Linked DNA regions of Drosophila melanogaster. The protein of the gene in region 4 interacts with the protein of the main gene of each other region in a pairwise test. Each region holds a gene or a part of one and is shown on either strand. Other genes may lie near its edges. The genes, in order: CG10026, to, CG11349 and ATPsynCF6L.

Evidence for each region.
Region 1: the proteins of ATPsynCF6L (region 4) and CG10026 interact in a two-hybrid assay, tested with the Drosophila melanogaster proteins (one large-scale study listed by BioGRID).
Region 2: the proteins of ATPsynCF6L (region 4) and to interact in a two-hybrid assay, tested with the Drosophila melanogaster proteins (one large-scale study listed by BioGRID).
Region 3: the proteins of ATPsynCF6L (region 4) and CG11349 interact in a two-hybrid assay, tested with the Drosophila melanogaster proteins (one large-scale study listed by BioGRID).

The regions. Positions count from the first base shown.
Region 1 is NT_033779.5:19,452,411-19,460,690, reverse strand, and holds CG10026 (uncharacterized protein), read right to left. Parts: upstream 5,014-8,280; 5' UTR 4,511-5,013; coding exon 4,508-4,510; intron 4,283-4,507; coding exon 4,123-4,282; intron 4,062-4,122; coding exon 3,967-4,061; intron 3,868-3,966; coding exon 3,523-3,867; intron 3,464-3,522; coding exon 3,285-3,463; intron 3,216-3,284; coding exon 3,098-3,215; 3' UTR 2,968-3,097; downstream 1-2,967.
Region 2 is NT_033777.3:25,236,275-25,244,202, reverse strand, and holds to (takeout), read right to left. Parts: upstream 4,024-7,928; 5' UTR 4,014-4,023; coding exon 3,953-4,013; intron 3,838-3,952; coding exon 3,597-3,837; intron 3,530-3,596; coding exon 3,390-3,529; intron 3,336-3,389; coding exon 3,028-3,335; 3' UTR 2,535-3,027; downstream 1-2,534. Other genes in the region: bam (bag of marbles), read left to right, coding at 1-149, 211-680; CG11854 (uncharacterized protein), read right to left, coding at 1,189-1,493, 1,556-1,695, 1,762-1,999, 2,076-2,145; Jhbp7 (juvenile hormone binding protein 7), read right to left, coding at 5,501-5,702, 5,758-6,003, 6,129-6,366, 6,424-6,490.
Region 3 is NT_037436.4:4,469,530-4,478,006, reverse strand, and holds CG11349 (uncharacterized protein), read right to left. Parts: upstream 4,940-8,477; 5' UTR 4,931-4,939; coding exon 4,928-4,930; intron 4,870-4,927; coding exon 2,983-4,869; 3' UTR 2,912-2,982; downstream 1-2,911. Other genes in the region: CG32248 (uncharacterized protein), read right to left, coding at 5,623-6,168, 6,240-6,242; CG32249 (uncharacterized protein), read right to left, coding at 7,211-7,936, 7,998-8,000.
Region 4 is NT_037436.4:5,009,583-5,016,587, reverse strand, and holds ATPsynCF6L (ATP synthase, coupling factor 6-like), read left to right. Parts: upstream 1-4,454; 5' UTR 4,455-4,492; coding exon 4,493-4,788; intron 4,789-4,843; coding exon 4,844-4,991; 3' UTR 4,992-5,144; downstream 5,145-7,005.

The DNA.
Region 1 (8,280 bases), on a different chromosome or scaffold from region 4:
GCCCCCGGAATCCCGCAGATCATCGCCTCAAGTGCACTTTAAGCACGAAGTATAGTCGTGTTTTATCACGAGCGTCTCCTGGTGAATCTACAAAAAATCGATTTTGAAATGGCAAATAACGTTGACATGTTCACGTCAATTTACCTTCCGTACCCCGGTGGAAAACCAGCCACCACCTCACTTTCCATCCACATATCTCAGCGGGAGTGCAACTCCATTGGGGGTCTCCTTTGTGTTGTTGCACAATGAGTTTTTACGCGATTTATGCTCCTACTTTTCCAATACAGCATTAATGACTTGTGACGGAGGATCAAGATAGACTGGAAGTTAGTGCATGTGCACCAGTTTTAATTTTAGGATGAGACTCAAAATCACTCATTTAAAAGCAAAAATTCTCGTCCAAAAGGCTAGCTAGCAACCTTTATTTCTAGGAAACATACATACTTCTTAACCTAATGTTGGCCTTTTAAAAAACATAGAAATTAAATTCTACAAAACTATTTAATCAAGTAAAAAAGTTATTCGCTTTAAGAAATTCCTATTTATTTTTTAAAAGCAAATTCTAAACACAAAATGTCCCTATGATGTTTCAATAGCTCATAATCACACATAATTTTCTCTGGCACACACACAGTTGGCAGTCGGTAGTGCAAAGTAAATAAATTTCGCAACCATTTATCACTTGGGAGGTCCTTCGCCGAGCAAACATACTTCGTCCTGCGGCAGGACCTGTGGTAATCGGTGTCTGTGGCAACAGAACCATAACGATCCACCATTTATGCAGCTTACACCTTCGCCTCGGGCCTGGAGTCGTCGTCTTCCGGAGTCAACAAATTGACAGCGAATATTTCAATTATACTGGTCTGGCCTGGTCCTTATTTATGGAAATCCCCCAAGCCCGAACAATCCTCACTTCGCGGGGCAGTGGGAAATTGACCCCCGTTCGGCACAGTTGATGTTTGTTTACAAATCGCTGGACATAATTTATTTGTTCCTATTGTGTTTTGCTTTTGGCCTGGGATCTGCCTGCCAATCGCCGCGTGATAAACCGCCTTCGGTGATAAGGAAACCCAAACGGGGTGTGAGTGAGGGGTTGATTCGGTCGGGGTCACCCTTGCCAGCTCATTAGGAAGCAATTATCCGTTTAGGGTTGCAAACATATCTTCTGGGAGAGAGGGAAAAATTGAGGTCAGGTACACTGTCAACGGATGTCAACGACTGTCAGTTTGACACTGCCTTCGGTGACAGTTGACAGCCGGGGAACGCCCTCAAATGTGTCTCCTGGATAATATGGCCAATTTCGGAAGTGAGATGCGGAAGCAGATGAGTTCGAATTGAGGAAGTTCTTTGGGGAATTTGGCTTTCTGCATGTCTACGGAATAATAAATCGGAGGTTATTTCAAGAGTAAATTGAGTTCAGAGCATACTAATAGAAGAGACACACAATGACACTAATTAGAAATCAAACAAGTACCAACTATGGTTCCCTTTAAAGTTAATAATCCAGCGAACTATCTAAGTGGTTTTAAATGGTTTTGGATACTCGTTTGCTCAATTTGTAATGACTTTCCTTTAGTTACTGGTCAAAAAGATTTCTGTCGTCCTCGGAATGATATATTTATGTGTATCTCGAAATCCCCAAGACATTGGCTACTTAAAAGACAGCACATGTTGAAGAAAACGAATCCTTTGCCCCTTCTGACCGCCTTCTTTGTTTTTCAATAAAACTCGAATAAATTCAGTTTGCCAGCCATAAATTATGTCCAGCTCGGTTTCGCCTCACACACGTGTTGCCAGAAGCCAGAAGCCAAAAGCCGAAATGCCAAAAAGCCAACTAATAACGCGCATCGGTCGTGCCCCCCAAATGTAGGCTATGCGATGTGTGTTTTTTGTCCGAATGTTTTTTCCGTTCTGACTGCCACTGTGTTACTGTCCCCCCATAAATATTTGCGCAATAAATTTTTTAATCTTGTCGCTTTAATCGCACAAATGTCGCTGTCCTTTATACGCACTCACACAGCTGTCCAGCACGCACACAGATTATGGCCACCCCCATCCCCACAATCGAGCCACATACACATAATACGCATAATGCCAACCTAGACCCCCGGTAGCACCGAAATCAATTTCACTATCGTTGACCAAACGGAAAAGCAAGGCCATTGCGGAGAATAGAGGGGGCAGGATTCTGACTTTGGACACCCTGCACTTGGACGAAAAAAATTTGTGAAGCAATATACTTTTAACCGAAAGCAAACATTTAATTATATATACTTAATTTCAGTTTATATATAGTATATGCTCTAAACTCTGAAGCTTTGGGTGTAACCATATATAAATTTCTAAATCTTAACCATGAAACCTAATTGACAATACAGAGTAACTTTAAGTCGAGAAAGTAATTCTTTACCGTTTTTTACGCAGACGGCAATGACTTCCGGGGGTCGGAGGATAGCGTTGAGACAACGGGATTCAATAAAAAATATCAAACATATTCGCAACGGTCAGATGGAGGAATCGAAATCTCCAGCACCCTCCTTCTGTTCGTCGAGCTCGATCTCCCCTCTCGCTCACATCCGGTGACAGGACGAGTGCAAACATATTTATGGCTACCGACTGCATTTTATGCGTTGTCCAACACTCAATTACCATAACGGCGAATGGTCGTGTGGCCAGTTGTCTCGCTCTAGCACCTAACGCATTTTGCATACGAATCGCATAAAACTCAAAGGACCAATATGCTATACATCCTAACCGAAACGAATGTTTTGCGGGCTAGCCGGGCCATTTGATTCGGTTAGGAACAAATTATTATTGCCTTTTGCCCCGAATTTGGTCGTGATAGCCGATGGGTCATTGATGTGACCGCCAAATGTATGAAGCATTACGGTTTATGCCGCTTCTAACCTCAAATTGTTGGGAACGAAACTCAAATGAATTGTTTGGTGAGTAATATTGCGTAGAAGTAATTTTCGAAATTCTTTAATATTTAAAATATCACCTACTTTGCTTCAATTGATTCTGGTATCATTACTTAACATATATGTAGTACAAAAATACAAGTATCAAGCATATCATTTTAAACAAGGCATGAAGCCTAGTCAAAGATGAATCCCAATTGCTCCATATCCTTTTGGATACTATTGCCCGAACACTGCTCCTTCAGCATATCCAACCAGAGCGTATAAGAGTAGTCCTCGTGCAAGCCACCATAGCTGAAATAGTATAAGTTTAATTATATCTGACTAATTATTTTAATAAAAAAAAAAAACCATTTTACTTACCGCTTGGGAAGATGTTCTGGGTTGATGTGTTTGTGCAGGGAAGTCATGTCACTGCCATGGATGTATAGCTTTTCTCGCATAGCGGCGTTGAGGAAAGGTTTAAATATCTTGAATGCCGCGTTGAAGACCCAATTCTGATTTACAATATGAAGGGCGGATGTTCTAATGGGCATGGAGGTCTGCAAGCCAAGTGTAGGTTAAAAAAGCTATTGAAAATAATAAAAAGTAGTTATCCTACCACTAGTAGAGCAATCATCTTCTGAGCCACGCTGGGACTCAGGTGGAGTATGTGTTCCAAGCCCAGGTCCTTCAGATCGAATATTCCCACTCCTCCGACAATCTGTGAGATGGGTTCCAGGCTGCCCAGTTCCTGCAGGACAATGGTGGCGCGAAATATATCGTCGACGGTTACTTGATTGGGTCGCCACAGTCCGAATCGGTAGATGAGTATCCTATGGCCATGTTGATCCCGATAGGGAGTCACTGTCAGGATGTCCGATTGCCCAACATGTCTCAGGTCCAGAGGACGAACCTTCTCATAAAAGCTTTTGTTCTGCTCCCGAAACCTGTAGTAACTGCAGAGCTGAAAGGGAATGAGTTATTGCATTTACCTAATAGATAATTATCAAATAGTCACTTGCTGTTGGCAAACTAAAATGAAGATTTCCCCAAGTTTTCTTACCAATTTGTAACTGTTCTCGATTTTCCAGTAGCGGGCTCTTAGGAATTTCTCCAGGTACTTCGCATCACTTCTGTGTGGTTGGCATTCATTATGTTCTGGAGAGGTTTTGTTCAGATGAATACCTTTGTACCTCTTAGACAACGGACTATAACCAACCTAGTATGTAGTTACGGAATTGTTCGATGACCTTATCCTTGGAACTGGGACACTCTCCCTGCTCCTGGGCAAGTCGGCGGATGTGCTCCGGAACCTCCTCCTCGGTGATGTTTAGCTTGTGCTCGATGGTGGGCATGGTGCGGCATCCACTGCTGGTCGTCTAAAAAAAGCCCAAACTATAGATACAATGTGGCCATAAGGGGGTGGTGCATTGATAAGCGCTTTTCACTCGCGCAAAATGTAAATAAAAATAAATCCAGTTGAGAATAGCGCAATATGACTGTTCCCGATTGTTTCGTTGTTAGCAACATTTCGCCACCCGTATTGACATTTAAATTTCAGAGAGATTTGGCATGTCACTGCTGGATGAATTTCTCGTTGTTACCATTTATGGGCTGTGATCCGCTCGACTCCAAGTGTGAAACTGAGCCCCCGATCGGAACCAGAATCGGGCCAAGTGGTGACAGTCCCAGGCGAAATGCTGTTTTACTTGTCGCTAAACATGTACGAGTGTGTATGCGACCATTAAATATTAACTAGAAACCGAACAACAATGAACATTGCGATAGCGCGAAGGAGACAGCCGATGAGTGATAACAGTGTGTCACTGAGCTCGAGCTAAATTTAGTGAATCTGCTGTACTTAATTGATGGAGCGGGAATCCACAAGAATTATAAACAATATAGTATAAGTAAAGTGTTGTGCAATTACTCAGTTTTGGCTGCACTTAGTTTTTAGAAACATTGCCTTTGGGTTGGTTGTTTCCAGCAATCAATACATTAGGTAGGTACACTTTCAAAACAATGTATGCAAAATGAAATCATTAAAATTTTTAAAATCATTTAAAATATATTAATATAATATAATAATATATATATATATAATATAAATATATACTAATTGGGGGTTAGTACCGATTGTTACATTGCTAGCTTAATCTTGGAATTGCATAGTGTTCAGCATCAGCCCCAAAATATGTGCTCTTGTTAGGTGTACCTCGACCTGGCCTTGGCCGGATTTCCCAATTCCTATCCCTACACCCCAAAACGCAGAGCCAGACCCAAACTTGCCCCCAGTGAACCCCGCGATTGTAGAGGAGCCACTGCCTGATAAGGCATTATCCGCCGCGTTCCCAGTTCGCCAATGGCTAATCGGGTCGCTTGGGGTCTGTGCGGTGCAGCGTTGTGTGAGTTCGACGCGTATTTGGCAGATACTGTGAGATGATGCCACCGCGATCTCAAAGTGCAGCACACACAAATTTCACACGTGGTGGCCGTGCAAAGTGCCTGGGTCAATATTTAATCATATTCAACAAATTCCAACTAATTACACATTATGCACTTTTAAGTACGCCTGATTGCAGTGCTTAAGTCCCAGCACATACATACTCGTAGTTCGGTTCAAGTGTTAATGAACTCGCCATTGTTGTCGTTAATTGTCTACATGGATTTGATAATCCCAAGATAATCACAATAATAGTGCCCCCCATTAGGGTGTTTGATAATAAGCGATTATTTCACAGCCCCACCTGCACCTTTAAACACCTGTTTAAATCGCCCCATTAGCTCGGGGTCTTCACTTTCATTACCAGGTAATAATCCAATCCGAGTGGCGGTTACTGTTTCTGGTCACGGTTTCTATTTTTTCCAGCTTGCAGTACGGGGAATCCGACTTAACGAAGATCGCACACAAGTGGCATCGCAGAAGCTTGGAATGAAACTGAGCTGGGGATCGCTTAGAACAGAAGATTTTATGAACACAAGTCTCAATGGAAAAAGTCGAGAAAAAGCGCAGCACTTATGACTATAAACCAGTATGCGAGAACGAGAAACCAGCATCTGAAAATAGGGAGAGCCAGCTCGATGAAACGACGATGCAAACACCCTTAAAAACGCAATTAAGTAAAATTTGTTGATTAACAATACATATACATACAATTTATTCAAAAAAAAAAAAAAGAAACTAATTGCTAATTGTAGTACTTATGTTTATCTTTTTATCTTACCAAATCTTAGGAGTTTTAGCTCACATCTTGTTCAACTTGCTAATAGTATCCTGGAATAAACTGCACTTAACTCCGCTAGTTCACAATTTTCCCATGCATCAGCTGAAATTCCCAATTTGGCAGGGTACAAACTGCACTCCGCATATTGAGAGATCTTTGCTGATGCTTGTCAAACGAGAATCAACAGATTTGGAGGAGTAGAGAATATTTCTGGACGATATTCGATGCTGTGCAAGTTCAATGAGCTCCGGTGACGTCACTGCGTGAAGGGTTCTCCATTACCCAAGCAGAAATTCCGAGTAACTCGGATGAATCCAGAATCTTTATATTTTGTTTGCACTATTCAAAACATGTTTCTGAGCCGGAATGAAAATCGCAACGGGATGGGGAGGGACATGCCCCTTTATGACGTCGTGTTGGGCAAGGTCAGGCAAAATGGCAGAAAGAAAACCAGTTCTCTTGTAGCCATGGTCTTGGCTTTGGAATATTCATATTACCAGGTGGTTAATTGAAAAGCAATCTTCACTTCAACGGTGCGAAATTTAATTGCACAAATGCAACTTTAGCAGCAATTTTTCATTTCATTTCATTTTAAGTAATTGCTGTATATCACATTGATGTGGGATACAATACTAAGCATATGAAAGGATAAATTTCTTAATGGTTTTACTTTGTCTTAAATTTTTGATAATTTGCATTTAGATCGAAATATTTTATCTTTTTTACATTTATTTCAATGCCGATTTATAATGTAAAAAATAGAAGAAATGTTAGTTGGAATAATTAAAACCCCTACTTTCGACTCGAAAAAGAATTTAACCCCAAAAATGTTATTATTATTTATTACCTTCGAATTTTTTAGAATTAACTGTTGCTTAACTCATCACGTGATTGAGATAGAACTAAAAAACCGTGATTTTGGCGATCACGCTTTTAGCGGAGTCACCGACCGCAGTTACTAGTTTAGCCCTGTTCACAATGAGCGTATGCACCAACCCAAACAACACTGTTATGGGACTTATCGATAGCGATTTCATTCAAACATCGATTTGTGCGCCTTGCCAGCTCTAAAACCAGCAATACTTCTCATTTGTTGTCGGTTGTGAAAAGTTGTTAAATGTGCTGTGCGTATTTTAATAGTTAGTTGAGAACTGTACAAGTTTTAGCTAAAGGCAGCAGACGCGTGGGGCACGTACAAGTCGAAAATTGTAGTGCACCGCCTCGTGTATCGCCTGCAACATAGAGTTTTGCCGCACTTCGGTTGTCGGCGGCAGCAAGAAAAGGCCACAAATACTTGGCAATTTTTTAACCAGGTAAGCAGAAAGTGCTGAATCATAATCGTAGAATTGGCTGTACCGTAGAACCTAAGAGCCCTGTCTAATTAATCCTTTAATATGATGGATATAGCAATTTTTCGGTGGCGTCGCTTGCAAATTAAAAATGGCGATACCGGTATAGACATTTAGCTAATTTTGGGCCTTTAAAAACCATAGTTTTTTGATTTTGTAGCGCGGAGCGCGTATGTAGGCCTGAATTTGTTTACTATAAAGTGAAACCCCTCGAAGAACCTTAATAAGAAATAATAAATAGCGGTGACTACCGGCAAACGCCAATAAACACGCACACTCACGCAACAGACGGCGCACGCCAAGCGTTGCCGCCAAAGAGACAGGGCTGTTATGTATTTCAAAGTGTGCTGAAAATCTGTTCCCAGTACAGTAGCACCAGGCAAAATAATACTTAGTTTGACGTTTTTCAATTTATCTGCAGTTATTTCTGTTTGACGTACCCAACCATTTCCCATGTTGGCCAAGTCCCATTCCATTGCAGCGTTTGTCTGGACGGCATTTACGCAATGCGCGGGCGCGCGTTTTGTTTTTTTTTTTCACCGTGGGTACAGTGCGCATTCATTAATAAAAAATTGTTGAACAGCAGCATCAGCAGCATTGGCATCACATGCCAACGCACAACCATCCCCGTTATTAAGAGGCCATTAAACATATTGGGTGCCATCTATCTTATTTGGTATTATAACAATTAAAAAAAAAACGTGAACATAATATTACTAATATACTAATAGCAACTGTTAACTGGGTGGGTACTGTAGTCTTCTGCTAGTAGCTTTGGTTTTTTTTTTACTTAGTAGAACGCAG
Region 2 (7,928 bases), on a different chromosome or scaffold from region 4:
GGAGGCGAATCGCCACTTCGATTTCGAGAAATACGACGAGTGTGACAAGTTGCTTAAGGGTTTCGCATCCTATTTGGACAACTTCAAACTGCTTTTAAAGCCCAAAATGCGCAATCGAAACGGAAACTCGGGGAGCAATGCGGACAAGTGTAAGCTGTAGATTTGCAAGCAACCATTCAGCTATTCCTGCAACGATTTTATTATTTACAGTCCATACTCAGCGCATGGAGAGATTGCTAATTGGTCTGCGCGATTGGATCAAGGCTGCGCATCTCAGTGTGCACGTATTTAACTGGGAAATGGATCTGGAGCACCGCTACTCCGGGGCCATGACCGAAAGCCACAAGTCGTTGAACGAGCGGGCCATCCTTTTGTCCGGTGCCGAGCTAAGGGCGGCCGAAGCGCGTGGAATCAGTGCGGAGGATCTGTTCATCGCCCAGAGATACAAACTGGGAGGTCCGATCTATTGCGTTCTGGAGCAGCATGAGTTCCTCTCCGCTCTGATCGCCAATCCAGAGACCTATTTCCCGCCCAGTGTTGTCGCCATTTGCGGGCCACAGAAGCTTGGCGCAGTGAGCATGGAGCAGCCGTCAGCGTCGGAGGAGGAGTTTGAGGAGACCGAGGAAGTGCCATCATCGCCACCTCGTCACACCGGACGTGTACCTCGCTTCAGAAGCTAAACTAATGCTGTGCACATCGATAAAAGAATGACAGCAAATATGCAATTTAAAAAAGCTACTCTTCTCATGGGAAGCAATAATTTCGTAAAGTAAACATATCTATAGTGTAAGATATATTTGTCCAATAGTGCGGACTCCATATTTGTATTCGTGAATAAGCTTATATAAGCTTTTTAAAAATATTTATCAAATCGATACAAACAAAATCAAAATGAAAACGATTTATTACCCCTGTTTTGAGATTGATAACAAATTTATATAAGTTTAACTGTGTTTACATTTATTTGGCAAAACTACAAATGTGTTTGCTTTTCACTTTTATAAATCTGTATTTTACTTAAACTTTAGAAATAAGAAATCCTTTAGTGCCTGAATTTATTTTGCAACTACGTTTTATTTGTATGAGGAACTTACCAGTTTTTCTTATTTGCTTTGCATTTGTATTTTGAAAGTCAAATAAATATTTACGATTTGTGTTTGGACTAATTAGGGTGTTTGTACTAAGGTCTTAGACTACAAAGAGCTGTTCGAGCGGCAGTTTGCCAAAGATCCTGTCCACCACCGACTTGGCTATCAGTCCGAAGGCCTCGCCAATGCCCGGTTTCAGTTCATTGAAGATGTCCTTCCAGTTCTCATTGATAAGCGCGTGCATGTTCTCGCTGAGATCTTTCTGGCCGTTGAACAGATTTTCCAGCTGGTAGGTCACATGGGATGGATCCAGCTCAACCTTTATGTTCATCACCTCGGCGTAGGTTTGATGATCGCCCTTGGAGACGCGCTTCAATTTGATCTGTGCACGTACCTTTGTTCTAGCTGCGAATTCCAGAAACACATTAAAAATTTTAGATTTCAAAGCTGTGGGAGGCAAATCTTACTGAGGCGTATGTCAGCAATGCCATTTCCGGTGATGGGCAGAATGAGTATTCTTCCGTCCACCGAGTAGGGTCCTCTGACTCCTATTTCTGGAACTTCCATGACCAGCTCGATGGAGCGGCTGAGATCCCTTGTGAATCCGCTAAAATCCGAAACAGAAAAATGTAGTAAGCAGAGCGATCATAAAATGAAATGAGGATCCACTCACCTCACTCGCTTCGCAACTCCCTGATGCAGACCCAAGATGTCCATCTCGTGGAAGCTGAGATCGATGTTGACCGGACTGTGCGGATTGCGTCCGATTTTGAACTTCTTGACGTGCAGCGGATCGAGGGGGATCAAGCCCAGCTCCTTGATACCGCTTTTGGCGTAGTTCCTGAGCACGAAGTTCACCCTGTCCTCCAGGCACTGCTCGTCCATTATGGCGCACCTCTCGATGCCCGAGGCTGTAAATTGGGGCGTGGCGATTGTGAAATATACATAAACATTATATATTACGGAAAGGGGGTGTGTGCAACTCACGGAAATCGGAGGCGTGTCCGTAGGTGGACGCACATCCGAACAGCAGGACGAGGGCGAGAGTTAGCTCCATAATTGCTGGCGGCGAACGTAATCGAGTACTGATCCATTAGCCGCGGGCGTTAACACTTATATAGTCACTTTCGTCAATTGAAATGTATCATGTTTTTGTTGCCGTAAACCGCTTTTGCGTTTCAGCCGCACAGAATTTGACTTTAGACCGTTTGGCAGTTGAGTCAGTTAAATGGATTATAAACCGAAACCGGCAGGCTGGCTGTATGGCAAAGTGGCTGGTTATAGCCGGCGAATTCATTTTACGATTCCCTTTAATGAACTCCCAAGTTCCCAACTCCCAAGCCAGACATCGACCCCGTCCCATTCAATCGCTCCTAATCGCGTTTTGGGTGCAATTTGCTCGATATATGCAAATTGGATCGGCCTTCCCCAAAACGCACATTAATTCCCGTTTCAACGTCTAATTAATGGCTAAGTCAACAAAGATTGTTTATCAAGCTTTTTTTTAATGTAACTGCCTTTTCCAGTTACAGATATTCCCTGCCTTTCGGAATCTCCGCGCGCGAATAACACATACTTTCAGGCGGTCCTTCATCTTTTGGATCAACCTGATCTATAGGGTTCCACTCACTGTAACTTAATTAATAATGGGTCATAGTTTTAAATGTTTTTATGGTATTTTACAGAATTCTTTGTATCACTTATAAATAATTTACAATGTGCTAACTACATATATGTAACTTTTATTGCCACACAACACTTACAGATTATTTAGCTGAGATGGCTTAATAGTAGTTACTTGTGTTCTCACTTTCAAACGCGAAACACGAACTCCATTAAACCTAATGATGATTGCTAGCCTCAAAACTTAGATCTGTCAGTACGCAAACAACATGATCTAGTATCTTTATGTGGACTCTGCCCACTTTGAAGAGCTAACTCACGATTCATCCGCAAAAAACTTGGCATACGGCAGTTTGGAGAACACACCTTTGACGACGCCCAGGTAAAGTTTGCCAAAGGATCGGTCGATTGCTTTGGCCGTCTCCTTGTAAATGGCCTCCGAGTTTTCGTTGAGGAAGACATTCATGTTGTCACCCAGCGCCTTGTCCCCATTGAACAGATTACTGAAATGGTAGTGGCTGGACTCCGGCTTCATCGTTATTTTCAGATCGGTAACGTCCAGGTAGGTCTCCCCATTCTTCACCAGCGGTTTGCCCGAGAAGCTGACGATTGCCCTGACGTTAACTGGACAGGATTTTTAGTTCCTCGAAATCTGAAAAATCAATTGGCATAGCTTACCCATTGTCATGTTACTCTGTCCAGTTCCGCTGATCGGTAGAATGAGTACCTTGCCCTGGATGTTATAGGGTCCAACGAGTGAGAAGGTTTTCGTGACAATTTTCACTTCGTGCTTGGCGGTGAGATCCCTTCCGAAACCCCTGCAAAGATCAAGGCAAGTTGAATCACATCCTTCTCATCCAAACAAAGTGTTGTTCCTGCACCCACTTTACTTTGACGATCCTTTGGTCCTTGATCCCATACAACAGATTGTCGGTGAAGGTTAGAGTTATGCCCACGGGACTGGAGCTCTCACCCTGGCTAATAACCATCCGATCCACCTTCAACGGATCCAGCTGCATCAGGTTCAGACCAGGATCCCCCTCCGCCGAGTTTTCGCTGAACAGGGTGTTGCACAGCTTCATGATACATTCGCCATCACCATACTTACAAGGTTTTGGATCTTCGGCTGTGAGGAACACAAAGGATTATTTTGGAACCGAAAAGTAGAGGTAGGTGTCTATCTAGGTTTCCCAGATTATTACTTCATTGGCAAGGTCTTGTTTTAAAGGACTTTCTCTTACGGAATTTGGCATCCACCGAGACCAAAAGGCACAAAACCACTGCGAATGCGATTGCGAACATGCTAACACGTCTATAACTTTAAGTTACTGAATACGAACGGGATTTTCGCCTAGTATTTATAGTGGTCCACTAAGTGCAACTCAAATAACGTCTAATGGCAACCTTTGATATAGCTCTTATCTGTGCCGTAACCGTCTGTCTGTCAATTCCAGAGCTCGTTTCAGAATCATCAACTAATAACGAATAGCAACTGAATCATCTGATGGTATTAGGTAAGAAAACGTTGTTCTAATTTCAATACAAGCCTTAGTTTATCACCTCATTTGGGTGCACTTTAGACAGCAAGTAGATCATGTAGCAAATCTTCTTATTCACCTTAATCTTCATCAATCAGTTACATCGAAAATCCGCTCAATGAATTTAAGTATCAGACAGATTATGTCCAATTAAAAGTCATGGTATTAAGTTCTCCCTTAACAAAGTTAACTGGCAAGTGTGCAACTCACAAAAGGGCCAGTTCCAAATATAGCCGAATTGAGATGCGAAAACAACGCAGTCATCGTGACCACCAGTTCTTTAGTTGGCTTTAGTTCTTGCGAATCGAAGTGAAGGGCAGTGGAGGAGTAGCGGTGGAGTAGTAGCTCGGAACAGGTCCTAGACTTTGGGTTAACTTAATGACCAAGTGTCCCGCTTTAAAGTCCAGCCCCCGTGGAGAACAAAAGCAACTTGTTTCGCTCGGAATCGCTGCAGTTGATTGCTCGCTCGTGGAAGATTTTCACTGACCCAAGGCCAACTGGGTGTCCGATTCCCTGGGATCGGGATGGCAGCTATACCGTTGGCTACTCTTGAACTTGGACAGTGAAATGAGTTCGCAATGAGTGACAGCACAGTTGTGTTCAGATTAATAGCACTGCCATTTAGTTAGTTCTTGATTCTAAGACAAGCAGATCTTAGTCATATATCATATCATCATATCATATACTAATTTTAGTGCACTTTGGGCTAAATTAGTTGCACAGGATGTAGGAGTAGTAGTAGGAGCATGCATCTTCGTCTTTTTTAAGACACAAAGTATTTGCTCATAATAATTAAGGTGTTTATTTCAATTTGTTGGATGTTTTAATACTTTAAGCGTATGTATAACTACGCTTTTATCCACAAGTATAGTCACCTTAGCAATAATGCCTTTGTCATGCAAATTTCGAATCAATCGTTCCATCACGTGAGCTGCCTGTTGATTGCTGATTGCTGGCCAAAAATGAAACAAAAAGTGTATGCGACACTTGTGCGGAAATAGTGAGATCCACGTTTTAGCTAACAATGGCCCCCCGCAGAAGCAGAACCAGTTTTTTTTCGAATGTTTTTGTTTATTCTACAAGTTAAAGCTTAGCTTAGCAGATACGATGATACGATGATGATGTGTCAATGGCCGGAATGCCGGAATGCAACGCCCCATGTGAGTGAGAATAGCTTGGATAGGTGAGGAAATACTCGTACACTTAGCCTAAAGTCCTAGGGCGCCTGATGGCGACTAGGACGACTAGTGCTCAGTTCTCGAGGAATAAATCCTCGTAGGCGAAGCGCTTGAAGAGCTGCGAGAGAACGCTCTTCATGATCTCGGCGATGGCCACATGAATGGAGGGATGCAGCTCGTTCCACACCTCCGTCCAGTTGTCGTTGAGGAACTGATTCAGATTGGTGCCCAATGCCTGGTCGCCATTAAAGAGGTTCTCCAGCCGAATGTTCATCCTGTGGGAACACAAATATGTTAGTATATCTCAGCTAAAATCCGAACTGCACCTACTTTTGTGGCTCCACCAGAACCTTGAGCTTATCCACGCTCAGGTAGGTGCGTCCATTGCGCTGCTGTGTGCCCGGCTTGAATTTCACCGAAAACTTGGGATTGTGCAACACGATCTCGGCATCGCCATCGCCACGAATCGGCAGGATCAGGATGCGTCCATCCGCCACGTACTTGCCCTTCAGCACGATCTTGGGAAAGGATCCGTACATCTCAAACTTGCTGGTTGCAGGATCAGCGCCAAAGCCACTGAAAAATACGATTATGATGGATAAGTGCAATCAACTTAATATATCTTCTTCTGTTAATAAACATGAGAACTTCTTCACTTTTGCTTAAGAAGGAAATCACTTTTCATTTCACTTGCTACTTACACGGCTCTGTCGAACTTCACACTGGACAGGCCCTCCACATTCACGTCCCTGAAGTTGAGCTTTAGATTCAGGGAGCCAGTGCGTCCGTCGGAGATGTCGAAGCGCTTGATCAGGAAGGGCTCCACCTGGGGGAATCCAGCGGACGGATAGCCGGTCCTCGCGTGCTGTCTGATCAGCATGTGCGACACGTTGATGATGCAGCTGGTGTCGCCCATGTGGCAGCGCGGCAGTTCGGGAGCTGCAAGGATAAGCTGGCGATTAGCGAAGCACTGGGATTGTTGGCCAAAGGACTCACGGAAATTCGAGGCACCGCTAACCAAGCAGCAGAAGAGGGCCACGCAGCCCAGCTGGAGCAGCATCATTCTGGATATGGATCTAGTTACGTACGAAATTCAAGCGCCCCGAAATTCAACCGCTCGACGATTTGGCGAATGCCCGACCAGGTTCAATGGCAAACTGTAAATCGGCTCTGGACAGACGGCGGCATTTATAAAATTTCTGATCGGCCAGAACGATGGAGCGGCAACAAATGTGGCCAACAACAACCAGTACACTTCATAGTTTATTCATTCCTGACTTGTCGCGTCTTGGCCCTTGTTTTTCTTGTTGTTGCTGCTGCTGCTGTTGTTGTTGTCTGTCTGATTGCTGGCTATTTTTATTTATATTTTTTTTTTATTTATTCGTATGTGTATATCTCTTTCGCTTCGTGTTATGGATTCTCCTCATCATCATAGACATCGCAGTCTTTATCTTTATCGCAGCTACCCCTAACCAGAATTGGCAGCAGCATTATTATTAATTAATATTATTAGCATGCAGCAACAAATAACAATAAACAATAACAATGGCAACGCGCACAAAAGGCAGCGAAACTCAAAATTTTAATGCTCAATCCAGTCAGTTTTCAAGCAATTAACCAATATATTTCCACTTATCCTGCAATGCATTATATATATATATAATTTAATTATACATATATAATTTGCACTATATTTCGGCATCTTGTGTACTTTTTATAGATTCAAACTCCGTGAAATGGAATCCGCGCTTTGTTCACACTTTTAATAAAGTGCAAATATCAATTCGTACTTATTGGCTTATGATATTATTCATCCCATATTTGCTTTGAGATCAGCACTTGGAATTGGGAACCTACCTCTGGGGGAATTCCTAAGTGTGCTAAATGGCCAGGCAATCTGAAAGGGAATGATAATGAATAGGTCATGGTTAAGGATCCACGATAAAAATCACTTAAGTTATGAAATTGTATTCCGACCAGAAGGAAGAATGCATCCCAAGGCTCCCAACTATGAAATTTCCGTTTTGGACATATGTACGAAGATAAATCTTTTTGTGGCCAACACAACTCAATTCCGACATAAACCAATTAGACATAGTCGGGCATTTTGGACGACATCAAACAGGTTCCAACGGCATCGATAATCGATAATGGATGGATCGACGGATAAAAGTTGCTCGGCGAGGTGGCTTCACTTTCAAAACTATTGGACAGGCGACGTTCGGAACGGGCCGAGTGAATTTAATTTGGCAAATTCTAGTTAAAGGCTCCTGGCGTTCGTCATCAGCAATTAGCATATACTACATATATACATATGTATATGTATATTTGGTGTGTGATTGGCATGAAACCGGCATTCTGTTTATTTACCCATCCAATTGGCGCCAGGTGAGTCCAAATATTTCACTTTTGTCCACTTTGATGTGTTTGCGCAGCCAATTCCTAGACGCTGTCGTAGACATCGAGATTACAACGGATTTTCGGGGGCGAAATATGGTAAT
Region 3 (8,477 bases), 540 kb from region 4:
CATTTAAATTGTCAGCCCGGCTTAATAAGTAAGCGTGGGCCCCGAATTAGCGTAACCCACAAAAAGAAAACGGACAGGAGAGCGGATCGGCGAAAGGAGATCTCCGTCCCACTGATTGTGTTATCGGATAATGTATACTATGGTTAATGGCCGGGCGCGCTCGATCGGTCTCCCCAAATGGAGTTTCCGAATCGCTGTATATACCAGATTCAGACTGCCTTTGCATAATCCCACAGGTCGCGTCGCTCTGTCTAACAAAAACCAAAGACCATTTCGCGTTGGCTTAATTTATGCAAATTCTATTCTAATTAATATTATGGCCATTCGATTTTTGCCATATATGTGAGCTTAACAGGCGGCAACTTCTTTCTCGTGGCTGCCGCCTTTCCTTTGTCTTAGTCTTTGTATTTTGTCCGGCATAGTCACACGCGCTAGTTAATTTAGTTTTCAAGATACTCTAATTGGGGAGGATTCCCTATCCCGCATTGTAGTTTATATAAAATGGAATCTTATCTGAAAGCTTGCATATGGTAAGGGCATCGTATTATTATCAAAATTATATTACATATTACAAGGTTAGTTGGCTGGGAAGTAAAGGTATTTATTAACAGTTTATGTTTCTTTTATTTGTATTTATCTTAATTAAATTTTAGAACAATTTCTTTACATGTTTCTGCTCTCCATCAAAATTTATCAAATAAAATATAGTCTGTTGCTTTTTTTACAGCGTAAAAGAAAGTCTGTTTCAAAAGACTCTAACACTCACTAGCCAAGTACACGTTTTAGTCTTTTACGATAAACTTAACGTTCTTTTAGCCTGTTATGCTCTTTTTTCGTTTAACTAAAATATATGATAAATCATTCTGGAAACCCGTTTTCAAATCGCCCCACTCTTCGGAGCCGGCGACTAGAAAGTGCCACCACCGTCATGAAGCGCATCTCCAGAGCTCTAAAAAAAAAAAAACAAAACAAATCCGAAAAGAGCTAAATTATAAATATACAAAAATCAACGCCAAGCAACAGGGCAACAAAAAAGATGAAAAATAAAATTCCGCACACTTTTAACACTCGGCTCGTGGCCAATAAATAATGGAAACGCGTGGCAGCCGAAATTTGGCAAGTTCCTTTCATGTAATTCTGATTCTGATTCTAATTCGATTCTTATTTTGGGGCTGCCTGCGGCTCATCGAGGGGCTTTCTGTTTGATGGCTGATAGAAAATAAAGTGCGATCGTTCTTGAATATGTATTCTCGGTTGTGGGCTGTCTAAAATTAATTATGTGGCTGCCAAGTGCTGAAAATTAATCATCCGAGCATCGAATGCTCGTCGATTTTTTTAGGCTATGTTTAACGGATGACGCAAGGCGGAGTTACATGAGATCGGATTAGTTATGATCCCGAAACTCAGAACCCTTTCAGTACAGAGTTGTAGCTCTATGTTGGCCATCTGGAAAGTCATTAAATAATAAATACACCTAAAGAAATCAGAGTACATTCGATATATTTCATACATAAATGACTTTTGATTATAATTAAATTAATTGATTAATTGAATTATATTTCACTGCCTTAGTGATTAAAATTGTTCGATTCTTATTTAGTAGAACAATTTAAATTGAAAAATTAATACTGTTCTGAAAATTCTCAGTTCTGATTTTGCGCAGTGCTTCGGGAAAGCCTAAAAATTATGGTTCATAATGTTTGATAGCAATAATTGCCAAAGAGGCGGGTGGCACCGGATCATTGAACTCCAGCAGCCCCACTTTGAACCCACTCACTCGCTTTGCATAGCCACAAGCCCGCGAAATTCGCACAGACATCATCCGAAATTTATTTCTGTAATCAGCGGGCTTTTAACGGTCTCCGTTAATTTTATGCCGAGCCGAGCTCCTCCGTAGAGTTTGATCCGAAAGTTTGCCATAAATTATTTTAATTTAATGCTACTTGTAGACATTTTTTTGAAGGCCCTGCTGCGGTCATTTGACTCTCTTAAGCTTGCCAATTTCACCAGGAGAAGTGCGCTGATTTATGGGGATCAGCTAATAGGTTTCTATGGGTCGGTGCATTGGGTCACGAGCCGACGAGATGGGCTAAGGCTAATCCTCTCTGACCTACAGTTGGCCAAAAAACAGACGCACATGCCGGCAGTGGACTGCCCACATTTGATTTAGGAGTCCACTCGCTAATATTGACATTGATTGCCGAATTTAAACATTACTAAGGCCCGCCTCAGTCTGAGTAAAAAATAATCATAACAAAAACATAACATACACGCAGCCTTTTATCCATAGGTCACAAATGAGGTGGGCCAAAAACGGATCCAATGAATGTGTTTTGGGCAGCTCACCTCTATGCAGTCGACTGGCCAAGATATGCTGCCTGGTGAAACAATAGATTTTGTTTTATTTCTATTTTGATTTCAGTTGATTGGATTTGCATGAGAATCGAATCTAAATGATTGCATAAATTTATGTCGACAATTCATTTTGCCTCTCTCACTATAAAAAAAATGTCTTTGTGCCTCTATTTCTATATAGCTCTGAACTAGTTTCCTTTCCGCGTACCCTAATGGACAATATATACACCTTTTCCATCAAAGGCAATCGCAGATATGGCCAGAACATAAATGCCCTAATCTATTTGCACGTGTATATTTATGTTAATGTATGTAATTTAAAGGCAAACAAAAAAATCAAATATACATAGTTGGTAAATATCTGGATATTTTTATGTGCAATATAGATATTTGTAGTCTGGTGTAAAGCTTAATCAAAAGCTCAATTTATAAAGCTCAGCTTGAAAACCCGTGTCGATTTCTCAACAAACTTTAAAGCTACCTTGAGCGGAAACGGAAGTAGCCGCCATAGTTTTCGCCTGAAAGTATGCTTTAAATAAGTAATCAAGGTTTGTTTGGTATGCTCTTGTAGCAAATGCTGATAAGTATGATTTAATTTATGTTATAATATGTTCTGTTTTAAAATACTTAAAACTCGAATGACTGTTTGGGCTTCTGGTAGTGATAGCCATCCTCACGATAGTCAGTGTCGTACTCCGAAGCAGATGTTTTAAGATCCACATTGTTTCGCTTTGAACTGCGCCTATGAGATCGCAGTTGTTTGGGAGCAACCACATAAGAGGACTGCTTGTTACTAGCCGCAAAGCCCAGAAATCCTAGCTGCCCATCATCGTCCGCATCATCGTCATCGGGTATAAGGACTGAACGCTGATTAGGATTAACCGATACCAAAGCCCGCTGGTGTCCATGATGAGGATCGCTGTAGAAGTTGCCGTCTATGATGTTGGTGTCCTGTTGATTTCCCAGCGCATTTGTGGGTCCCTGGAGATGGGGTTGTCCGAAAACGTTTCCATTCAGCACATTGAGACCCTGGTAGTTGGATCGATTGCGCTGTCGTCGGTTGTTGAGGCGTGGTACTTGTCCCGCTGCCAATTGGGCTCCAATGGAGGGGTCGGACTGTCGCTGATTGGGATCAAAAGCTCCTGGTCCAGCTGCATTGGGTCGCTGGTTAGGCACGCCTTGTCCAGCTCCAAGTTGGGCACCTGTCGAAGGATCAAATGCTCCCTGTGCACTTGGTCTCTGGTTAAAGCCCTGACCTGCACCCAATTGAGCACCCGTAGAAGGATCAAATGCTCCCTGTCCACTTGGTCTTTGGTTAGAAACACCCTCACCTGCGCCCAATTGAGCACCTGTAGAAGGATCAAATGCTCCCTGTCCACTTGGTCTTTGGTTAGAAACACCCTGACCTGCGCCCAATTGAGCACCCACGGAGGGGTCAAAAGGGCCACCTAGCTGAAGGTTGGGATCATATTGGTTTTGCGCAGGTCTTTGAGGTCTTTGACCAGCTCCAAAACCAGTGTTAAATGGTCCTCCGGCAGCTGCTTGGGCACCAAAGGAAGGGTCGAATCCTTGGCTCCCTCCAAGTTGAGCTCCTCCCGCAAGCTGACCTCCTCCGGCAGCCTGTTGATTTCCAGCTCCAGCATTACCTATGGCTCCCAGCTGAGCGCCCAGCGAAGGATCAACAAAAAAGTTGAGTCGGTTGCCATATCCACCTCCATAGCCACCTGGACGTGGAGGTCGCTGACCGTTACCCAGAACAGCCAATTGTCCGCCGGCAACAGGTTGATTGGCCGGAAGATTAGCACCAGTGGGAGCCAAAGCACTGGCTGGTAGCTGAGCACCTATGGGATCAGAGGGTCCACAGCCAGGTGGTACGTTTCCAGGTCCAACAAACTGGCAGTTGGGTCGAAATCCTGGTGCCTGGGCTCCAGTCGGTGCTTGAGCCCCAGCAGGATCCTGTGCTCCTGCTGCACGATCTGGGCGAGTAAGGGAATTCAATTCCGAATCCTGGGACTGCACGTTGATCTGCGTGTGGGTGTGGAACACCGAGTTGGGGGCACTGGCGTATAGAATTCGACTAGGACGACGGCGGCGATAAACCACTTGGGTAGCAGCTGGGGTGAACAAGTCCTGATTGTAATCCGTACGGACATGGGGCTTGCTATGCTTGTAGTGAATGTGCTGGGTCTTTACTTCTGGCTTCTTGTCATAGTGATGGTAGTGATCCACTCGCTGCTTTTTGGGCTCTTCATGTTGATGCTCCTTGTAGTATTTGGGCTCCTCGTGCTCCTCTACCTTGTGGTAAACCACCTTTTCACTGGTGTGCTTCTCCTTCTTGTAAAAAGGTTGCTCCACCTCCTTTTCCTCGTGGGGAGGTAGGTAATGGGACTCCTCATCGTCATCTTCGTGATCCCTGGAGTGATGATGCCGCTGGTGCTTGTGGTGTTTCACATGGGAAACGTCCGCCAGACATGCGATTGCCATAAGGCATAGAACCAGGATCACGAGGACATTCTAAAATAAAAATGGATTGGTGAAATGCGGAACCTAGAACCTATCGTTGATCCGTTACCATTGCTAAAGTGCCAGTGACTGTAAGCAGCTGTAGATGCAACTTATATACTCTCTTCGGGATCTTTTTTGTTGCATCCCCACATCGAGCCCCCAAAAAAGACCACAGTTGAAAGCGAAACCTGTTGCCGAGCGTGAGAAATCGATTCCGCGCTTTATGTGACCCATTTGTTCTTATTGAATAGCCGCCAATTTAAATTCTATTGAATATTCTGAAGCACAACGAAAGTGTCCCGTAAATTTGTCAGATCAAAGCGTTTAAATTTATTGGCCCAAGTGCGCTGCACACTTATGCGATAACGCATGGGTTCTTTGAACTTCGTTTCCAGGTGTGAATTTGGCCTAGTAATACAATTGAAGCTTCAAACTAATTTATCATTAACAACTGATTGTTAGTTATGGATAAGAAAAACTGCACTCCAGTACTAACTAACAATTATTAATAAAATTTAATTTTGCGATTTTTTTTTTCTTTTCTAGCAAGAATTTTAGCACTTTTGAAATGTTGTTTTAGGTTTTATAGTTTTTTTTTTTGCGCGCTTCTTTTGCTAAAACTATACACCATATCATTCTTGTTTAATTATCAAATTATCATATTATCTTTATTAGTGTTTTAATGCTCAAATAAAACTATGTTTTTATAAATTTAATATTCGAGTTTTTTATTGTCGCATTTTATCGTATCATCATCATCGTTTAAGCGCGGTGCTTGAACACACGGCGACGGACGGTCTTGTACTTGTATCCCTGCTGGCTGGCGGCGGGCTGGCTATAATCGTATCCGGAGCGGGCGGCAGAGGGGGCGGAAGCTGCGGCCTCGAACACCGGTCCGGAGGACTCGAAAGCAGGAGCTGGAGCAGAGGCGAAGGACTGCACGGGGGCGGGGGCGGGAGCTGGAGCAGGAGCAAAGGACTGAACGGGAGCTGGAGCTGAGGCGGCGGCATGGTGGTGGACATGGGGAGCGGGAGGCACGTATGTGCGGGCTGGTGCGGGTGCAGAGGCGGCCTGCTGGAAAACGGGAGCAGGAGCAGCTACTGGAGCTGGGGCAGGGGCAAACGACTGCACTGGGGCAGAGGCAGCTGGAGCTGGGGGCACGTAGGTCCTCACTGGAGCCGGAGCAGAGGCAGCTTGCTGGAAAACAGGAGCCGGGGCAGAGGCGGCTACCTGGCGGGGAGCATTGTAGTTGTAGCCAGATTCGGCGGCCACACAGCCAACCACGGCCAAGGTCAAGATAAAGAATTTCTACAGGGAAAAATCGAAATAGAATAATATGCCAACTAATATAATCCGCAATACAGATGGGAGATCCTTACCATTTTAGATGATCTGTTTGCTTTAGGAGCAACGAACCGAATAATATCTTAGACCGGCGACTCCTGTACTTTTATACAAGTCGGAGAATCTGCGGATCCAAACGGAAGTGCTGAGTATCATAAATCAACGAAACGTTTTTCTTCGCGTCGAAAAATTTGTTTAATTGGGCAAACAGATACCTCGACCACGACGCCATATGGGGCTTGTTTTTATCAGTTAGGTACGCCATGGAGTTTGGATTTAAAACTCTCATTTTTTTGCTGTCATATTAAATATAAATATTCATAAGAATACACGTATCACAGCTTAATTTTTTTGCCAAAACAATTTTATCGCAAACCTGATAGTTTGGTTTCGTCTTGAAGAAGAGCTTTTTTAATTCACCCAAGCTTTTGCTAAGACTAAACCCGATATTGGGTTAATAGAAACAGTAGCAGAGAGCTATTTTTAAATCGATCCAGAACAAGAAGTATAGCAATTAGCCGGTCATAAACTATCTAGTCAGCCGTATACCTTATCCACTTAAAGCAAACAAATTGCTCAGGCTAATGACTTAATGTTCCGCTAACTCGATTGATGGACTGATTGATTAATTGTTCAGAGAAGCCTCAAGATCGCGACTCCCAAGGTATTAGGTATCTTAAACATTTCCTCTTGGGGTTAATGGCATATGGTGCCCTTTTTTGCATAATCACGTTATCTGATCTGTATTGACGCCCTCCAATGGTCTCGAGTCTAAACAATGTTATTGTTTATCTTTCTGAGCTTTCTTTATTGTCTCTTTTGCGCTAATTCGAGAATATGCTAATCGTATCAAGTCAGACACACAAATAAACCTATTAAATGTATTTTTGCATTTCTTTGCCAAGATGGTGAATTAGCATTCGAATATAGTTGGTGTTGTGGGTTAAACCACAAACCAGTTGAGTTGGTGGTTGCTCAGAAATGTTGTTTCGGATGATGAGGCATCTTACTGGGGCGGCAGGTAGGTGTTACGAGGAGCGATGACTTGTGGCGGCAGGTAGGTATTGCGCGGAGCAGCCACCGAGATCACTTGCGGAGCAGGACGAGCAATGGACACCACCTGTGGAGCAGGACGAACAATGGACACCACCTGTGGAGCAGGACGAGCAATGGACACCACCTGTGGAGCAGGACGAGCAATGGACACCACCTGCGGAGCGGGACGCGCAATGGACACTACCTCTGGAGCAGGACGCGCAATGGACACCACCTCTGGAGCGGGACGAGCAATGGACACCACCTGTGGAGCAGGACGAGCAATGGACACCACCTGTGGAGCAGGACGAGCAATGGACACCACCTGCGGAGCGGGACGCGCAATGGACACCACCTGTGGAGCGGGACGCGCAATGGACACCACCTGTGGAGCGGGGCGACTAATCACTTGGGGTGGCAGATAGGTGTTACGAGGCGCAGCCACGGAGATCACTTGGGGAGCAGGACGAGCTATCTGCACCACTGGCGACGGACGATAAACGGGAACCACTTGTGGCACCACCAGAGGGGCGGGAACCACCTGACGCTCGATGATCTGGGGTTGAACTTGAACCCTGGGAACAGAGATCACCTGGGGTTGCACCACCTGCACCTGAGGCGGCAAATAGGTCCTGGATAGAGAAGTGGCACCGACCACTCCCAAGAGAGCCACTGCGAAAGGCAAGAAGAGGACACGCTGGGCAGAAAAATTTTCCATTAATCTCACAATTATTAAATCCAATCCGATTGAAACCCACCATGTTGATCACACAAAGTCGAACAATTAAACTGTTTTTTTGCGAGCAGAACATTTGGTATTTATAAGACAATTTGGGCAGAACCCCAAATATATAGTATATCTAATAACATTCAGCTGGTATATCTTTTGCATATGTATCGGTATTGTCATTCTGATTGCAGTCGTCTGGCGAAATGCGGTTACGACTGCGAACCATAAATAAAAGCAGTAGTCCAGACGCAGGTTCCATGTCAGCCATAAAACAATTGCTCGCATCAATTTGAGTTAAAATATTTAAATAAAAGTAGCTCGCCAAGTCCATAAATCTGGTTTGGTAAATACTTTCACTTTTCTGCAATACTATGAGTTAATTAATAAGACGCAATTTGAAATGCGTATTTTTATTAATTTGAGTTTCTAATAAACGCATAAAGATTCCATCTAAGGGATAATTGGATTAGGGATTCAGTTTGTTTCGATGTATGGTCATAGTACTGTT
Region 4 (7,005 bases):
ATTTGGAAGCAAAACAATGGCCTATCAGCTGAACGTAAATATTTGATCAACGCAATAATTAGCAGAAATTACAGATTAATGAATATTTAATCAGACGTTCACTAGTCACTGGTCGTAACTGTTGTCGAACCGAGATAAGGAAAATGGTTTTCATCTCTCTGAAAGCAAAGTGAAAGGAAATCGAGTAAATTGACAGGTTGACTGCATGACTGCGGCCAAAATTCTTCTCCTGAGCTGCATATGTACTTAAAATAATAGCCAGCCCAAATTAATTGAGTTACATTATGCATTAGTGCGTCTCTGTGAGCCAAACCCCAAAACAGCAGTAGCAACAATGCATCAGTTGGCAAGTGAAGCCGAAATATTTCACAGCCATCCGAGCTGCTTGAATTGCCAAAATGCAATTGGAATTACAGCGGTCGCTACAGAGGGGTCACACAGATACACACCCATACACGCACACACTCGGGCACTAACTGACATGCTAAATATTGCATTCATCTTGTGCATTGTGTCCATGTGGCAAATAATTATGGCATTAATATTCCTATGCAAATATATGTGCACAGTGCTTTGTTCGCCATATCTCGGCATCCGTGAGATACAATCCGCCTGTTTGGCTTCGGTGGCTGGGGGTCGGGCAGGGCATGTGTTCATTAATACAATTATGACCGCAACAGGCGTGGGGCATAAACACGACTTCAATCCCTTAGTGAAACCATGCACGAAATATATTTATACTCAAAAAAATTTCTTTGAATTACAGAATTCAGCTGACCTAAGAAATATTCCAACTTGCATGCTCTATCTAAAAGCCACCAAGTAGCTTTAGTTTTGTTACAAATTTCCTGATTGATCAATATAAAATTCATTATAACATTAAATTTTGTAAGATAACGAAAAAATAATTTTTTTTCCATTTCTAAATGTGTTTGAAGAAGAATTTAGACTACCTGCTCATAAACAGCGGATTCTGACTACGAACCCAACTTTTTTCCCTGTGCACGCGATATCCGCTCATTTTTTGGCCGCCGAATCGGTGAGGTAAGCTCCATTAGTGAGTTTTGTTTAATCGCATCAGCCAGCCGAAAATCCAAATCAACGGCAGCTGCAGCAGCGGCAGCATCCTCCGGGCAGGCCGAAATGTATAATCAAGCAGGTACAGACTGTTAATGGATCTAATACCCCATATCCCGTATTCCCGGACTCCGTGCTCCATTGCAACAAAGACCACCCAATGGCACCCCCTTCTAAGCACAGATTTGGTTCGCTCTAATGAGCTCTGCGTGCAGCTTAAGGGCAACTGTAGCACGGCTGCTTCTATTTGCGGCACTTTGGCAATATGTGGCTAAAATTACTTGCAACTGCCGGCGGCAGGGTGCAGATACATCACCACCAGATGCATTTTAATTGGAATACCGAAACAGCGAGTAATAGCGCACATCGAAAAAAAGAAAGAATAGTAGGGCAAACAAAAAGGCGGCGACTGCCCAATTAGAAGCCTATTAGTGGTAACCACCACCCCAACACCACCCTCTTCCAATCGGAACTGCTCCATTGTTGCTGGCAATTTTACCAGGACGAAACAGAGCGCCCAAAGCGAGACAACAAATTATGCCAAATGGCTAATGAATAAATATCCGCAACCAGCACTCTACTCCCGTCCGCCGGATAGTTGGCATCCTTTGAGATGCACTAAAGAAAATGGAAGAGTGCCTGTAAGCCTTAATGATAAAATAAAGAAATCATTTTGGAAAAATATTCGAAATTCATTGAATATATAGTAACTTAAATAACTTGCAGGAATATATAAAACGCGAATTTAACATATAATACAAAATCATTTGTAATATCATTTAAAATTATTGTATTTTTTTGAAAACATTTGTGGTTTAAAACAATACAGTTGCACTCATGTTTCTTGATTGCAAAAAAGAATCTTTCTACAGACATTTCCATATTTGCAGCTTTTTTTTTTAATATACACAGCTCTATGATATAGGTTACAATGAGGTAAACGATATTAAAATTTAATTTTTTCCCCCTTTCTTTATCCTCTAGTTAAAAAACGTATTTATCATTTTTATTTGCCGCCGCGTTGAAGTTGCACTTATGAGAGAGCTCGGCGAAAAGCGCACACACGGGCAAAAAGCGGCAAATGCAGTTTTGTATATCGCTCGGTGCCTGTGTAATTGTATCTGTGTGTACTTTGTGGCATGCCACATAAACTTGATGCTGCTGCTGTGTGATATTTTAGCATTGAGCAGCTCTCAATCCCCCAGCATCGCATCCCGCAACCCCCTTCGCTCTCGGTGATATTTAAATCCTTGTTCCTACGCAGGGATAGCTGTTACGCCGGCAAGGACTCGACTCAGTTGGCTTTTGTATGCGCATTAATGCAACGACTCTCATGTTTATTCACACACAAATTTGCAGCGAATACAACGCACAGAGACTGCGGTGATAGCGGGATGCATTCACAATCCCACACAGAACCCCGGGACTCGGATACACTCGCACTTGGCTGAAGCAATCTGCTGGCAAATGCGCTTTACATTTTGCACACGCTAATACAATTTAATGGTCGCATTAATTTGGCGCATCTGTTGCATTTTAAAACACGCACACACAGCCACATCATGTACGAACACCCACACAGTTACGTGGATAGACTGGCACACAGATGCACAGATACACAGATACACAGATACACAGATGCACAGATACATATACACGTTCAAGGAGCGGCAGGCAACCGCAGGATACTTTGCTCACTTTGTTGTCGGCGGGGGAGGTTAAAGCATTTGCCAACTGCAAATAAAGTTGCGCTCAGCTAAATATTAATTCTAACCAAGTTAGGGGAAACTACTTTAATGGCGGGGGCGTGGCAGCCGCACAACTGCTTAATCCTTAGCTCTGTGTAGTAGTCGGAATGAAGATTGAGATACATGCGCTCGGCACCAGACAAAAAAGACCTGATATATGCCACCAGCAGGCAATAACCGTTTCACGTCTTCTTGTTTTCGCCAATGAACGCTTAAACTATTGGTGCACCGAACAAAAATACTAATAGAAATAGGATCGCAAGTATGTTGATAAAACAAGTTTCAATATTTTAAACACAGATAAAAAACCTCTTAATATTTATAGTTCAACTCAGTTTTTTTGACAAAAACTTATATTAGTATTTGTATTAGAAACTTGATCGATTCAAAACACGTAGGACGACAGCCAACCCTCTTCATTGGAATGTCAGATGCGTGGGAAGTTTGTTATTGCTGCCAATTAGGTTGCCATTCTGTTTGTGCCAATGTTTGCATATTATTTCTGCCCAATTTGCATTGATGCAATATTGTCCATGTCCCGCGCAGCGCTCCCCCCTCCCCCCCCCACACCTCGTTCCACTACATGGCGGCGTCAAATGCAGAAAATGTCAAAATTTAAATATTGAAAGTGACGTTGGCGTACAAAAACCCCTCGTGTTGCGGGCGTTGCACTAAGCGGATAAGCGCTTGTTAAATTTTTAATGCGTTGCATAATTTTTAGTTCGGTGTGGATATTTTGCACACAATATGTACGTACTATATGTTCGTATATTTTAATTCGAGTGGCGGATGCGAAACGCAGCATGAGTGCTGGCTGCATTTGAAATGAGCCGCATGTGGCGATGGCCGATTAAGCCCGGTTTAGAAGCTACACATTCCTCATTTCGCACTCGACAATGATCCATTTATTTGCACTGTCAGCGATGGTGCGGGAGGGGAAAAAAGGTGAATGGAAATTTATATTAATTATAATTTTCACAGCCATGTCTTCCCATCAATTATCAGAGTTTGTCCGACGGCTCAGTTCTCTTTTCAGCTCTTTTCTGCTCTGTGCATTTAAATTTTTCCCCTGCAAAGTCCTTGATAAACATTTTTCAATTAATTTTTATTTGCTGCCGCCGACATTTCTTTGTCCACACACGCGCATATATTTATGTATCTTGCTGCGTGCACATAAGCAACAGCAACAGCAAGTTGACGGCAGCAACATCATCGCCTTTATGTGTTTCACGTATTTCTTTAACGGATTTCCACTTGTCTCACTTTTTGAGAAAAACTTGTCGAGATGGCACTCGCATTGTCAAGCCCACTCACACACAGACATTCGCAGATACGACGAGTCAGACAGAGAGAAAATCTTACACGCTCGGGAATAAAGGAGAACGGGCAGCAACGGTGCGTAAAAATTCGTCCTGGAGCAGGGAAGCACTTCAGATGCGTTAGCCCAAAATGCGGGGTTTGATAAACGCAAAAAATACTCAAAATAAAAGATATAAAACGTTTAAAAATATAAATTCAAATCTTAAAAAAAGATGGCTTACCTGTTCTGAAGACAATGATTTTATTTTAATTTTGAAATCAAATTACCCTTGAGTAAGATATCTCAGAATCATATTTTATCGCATAGAAACAGTATCGTGTCAGCAGAGAACAAAACTAACAAAAAAATGTTTAGCCGTTTCCTAAAACCAAGCCTAGTTTTATGTAGGAGTGTGAGCAATACCGCATCCCTTCGCTACAAGGATCCCATTTATCAGATTTTCCTGGACAAGGTGCGCGAGTATCGGCTGAAGAGTCCCAAGGGAAAGCCCGTAGATCCTGGTCCGGAATTCGAGGCGGAGCTGAAGGAAGTCACTGAGCGCCTGGCTCTGCAATACGGCGGCGGCGAGGGCGTGGATATGCTCGAGTTTCCGAAATTCAAGTTGCCCGATATTGATATTGATCCCATTTCGGTTGATGATCTGTAAGTTACAGTTAAATTGGAAAAAGTTTTTATAAAAATATAAATATTTACTTAGACCAGAGAACCAACCAAAGCCTGAGAAAAAGAATAGAGATAAAGAAGTAAAGGCCAAAGAAAAGGGTGGGGAAAAAGAAGTGAAAGCCAAAGATGGCAAGAAAGCTGACGAACCAAAGGGCAAGGATGAAAAGGACAAGATAAAGTAGATCATCACTAAAAATAATCGTTTTAAATGTTGTTAAAATTTTCGCACAATTCTTAATACTTTAAAAATTATAAAATGTTTATGTTAAAAGAAAATGAATTTAAATGCCTGCAGATTCGAGCTACCCGTTTGTAGCTGTTCCAGGATAGAGCCGAAAAAAGAACGCACCGAAATTTTTATTAAGCACATACATGCATAAGCAGCACTCACACACACCATGCTTTTACCATGTTAAGTAATTCCTTAAACAACACAACAGGTCGCCGCCATTCGCATGGCCTTGTCCCTCCCCTTGGTCCTTCGTCCTTTGGCGCTCCCGCACGCCCCATCCCACCCACTTCCATTTTTTCCGTGTAACTGACGCTGAGTGGCAGACACACAGATACTCACACAAGCAAATTGAATTTAATGCTTTCTGCTGTTGCTCTTGATAAAACGATGGCAAGCGAGAGGAGGCAGCGTGTAAAGGACGAGCGTGGGAGCGAGAAAAACAAATCAAGAGACGTCGCGAAGGAAATACAAGCCAAACGCACAAATAAATACGCACAAGTACATAAATTTAAATTATTTTCGTGGCCTGGCCTCGCTTTCATTTATGCTTTTTTATTTTATTATGCCGCTCCGCTACAGTCGGCCTCAAGGATCCAAAGATCCAAGGATCCGGCATTTGACTACGGTCCAGACGTCCTGGCACACTTTCTGAATGCCATACGAGTGTCTGGCAGTGCGGTTGTATCTATACCCGTTGTATCTGTGTCTATATCTCTGGTACCGTTGCTGTTAATCTGTATCTGTAGCTCTGTGTCCTGTAACTGTGGCAGCGCATCTTCAGCTGTCTCTTAGCGAACTATGCGCCCGCATCGAGCAAACAACTACACCAACACACCGAAGACGTCCTTGGTCCTTGTGTAAGGCATGTTAACTGGGATTTGACAGCTCGTAAATAATATTTCGCTTGTTTGTTGGCTCGGTACAACGAGAGCAACGTCTTGCACAAGGTTGAAACAAAGACAGTGGTCTGAGTTCCCAACTTTATCTTTTTGCCTAAAACAAGGTAATATTCTTGTATTAAACCTGAGGTTTTATACATTTAAATGGCTTCTAAGTAGTTCAATTAAAATAAAATTAAAATATTTAATAATCTCTAATCACAAAGGAGCAGCGTTTAATAATATCATATTTCCAATCTTTGGTAAATCTAAATTATTACAAGAAAAACTGTTTTATTTAATTATATGCATATATTTTTTATCATAACTTTTTTCTTCTCATATCCGCTCATTCCTTGACATTTTCAACCACTGTGACCTATTCGATGGCAGCCATGTGAAAACGAGAAACGCATTTCATTTTTAAGCTGCTCCTTCTTGGCTCTGCTTGTTAAACAGTCTTTTTACATGACATGTGTGGGCGGTGGTTGGTTGGTTGGTTCATCCGGAGAGTCAGATTCTGATTCGAATGAGATGCGGTGGCTGGATGCTGGCTGGTTGCTGGCTGTCCTGGCATGTCCCGATTTTTCGGGACCAGGCCGCCACTCTCATTATGCGCACTCTCCTCGTTGCCGGCTTATTAAATTTTCATAAAGCACAGGCGCTCGTAAAAATTGTGCTCGGCCGCTTTTAAGCGCAAGTGGATTAAGATTAAAGCTTCAAGGAATATGACTTCAAAGGCGGACGAGCCGTAATTAAAGCCATGAAAACTGTCCGCAATTCGATTGCCGAAAACTGAATTAAACTGCGAACTCGACCGCCCAAGAAATAAGAGAAGTTGGGAAGTTAAGGAGAAACCAGGAGAACTGGAAACCACAGAAGGACTTGGGACTTCACCCACCGGATCCGCTCAACTGGAAGAAGATGATGGCGATGACGAGGCGGTGAGAGATATCTAAGGTCGCTTTCCCGCTTTTCTGAACCACACACAGACACATGTCTGTGGCTCAAAAATATATGTGGATATATATATATATATATCTGGCCGCTGGCTGTGAGAAAAGTGAAGCATCTTGTGCAATGTAA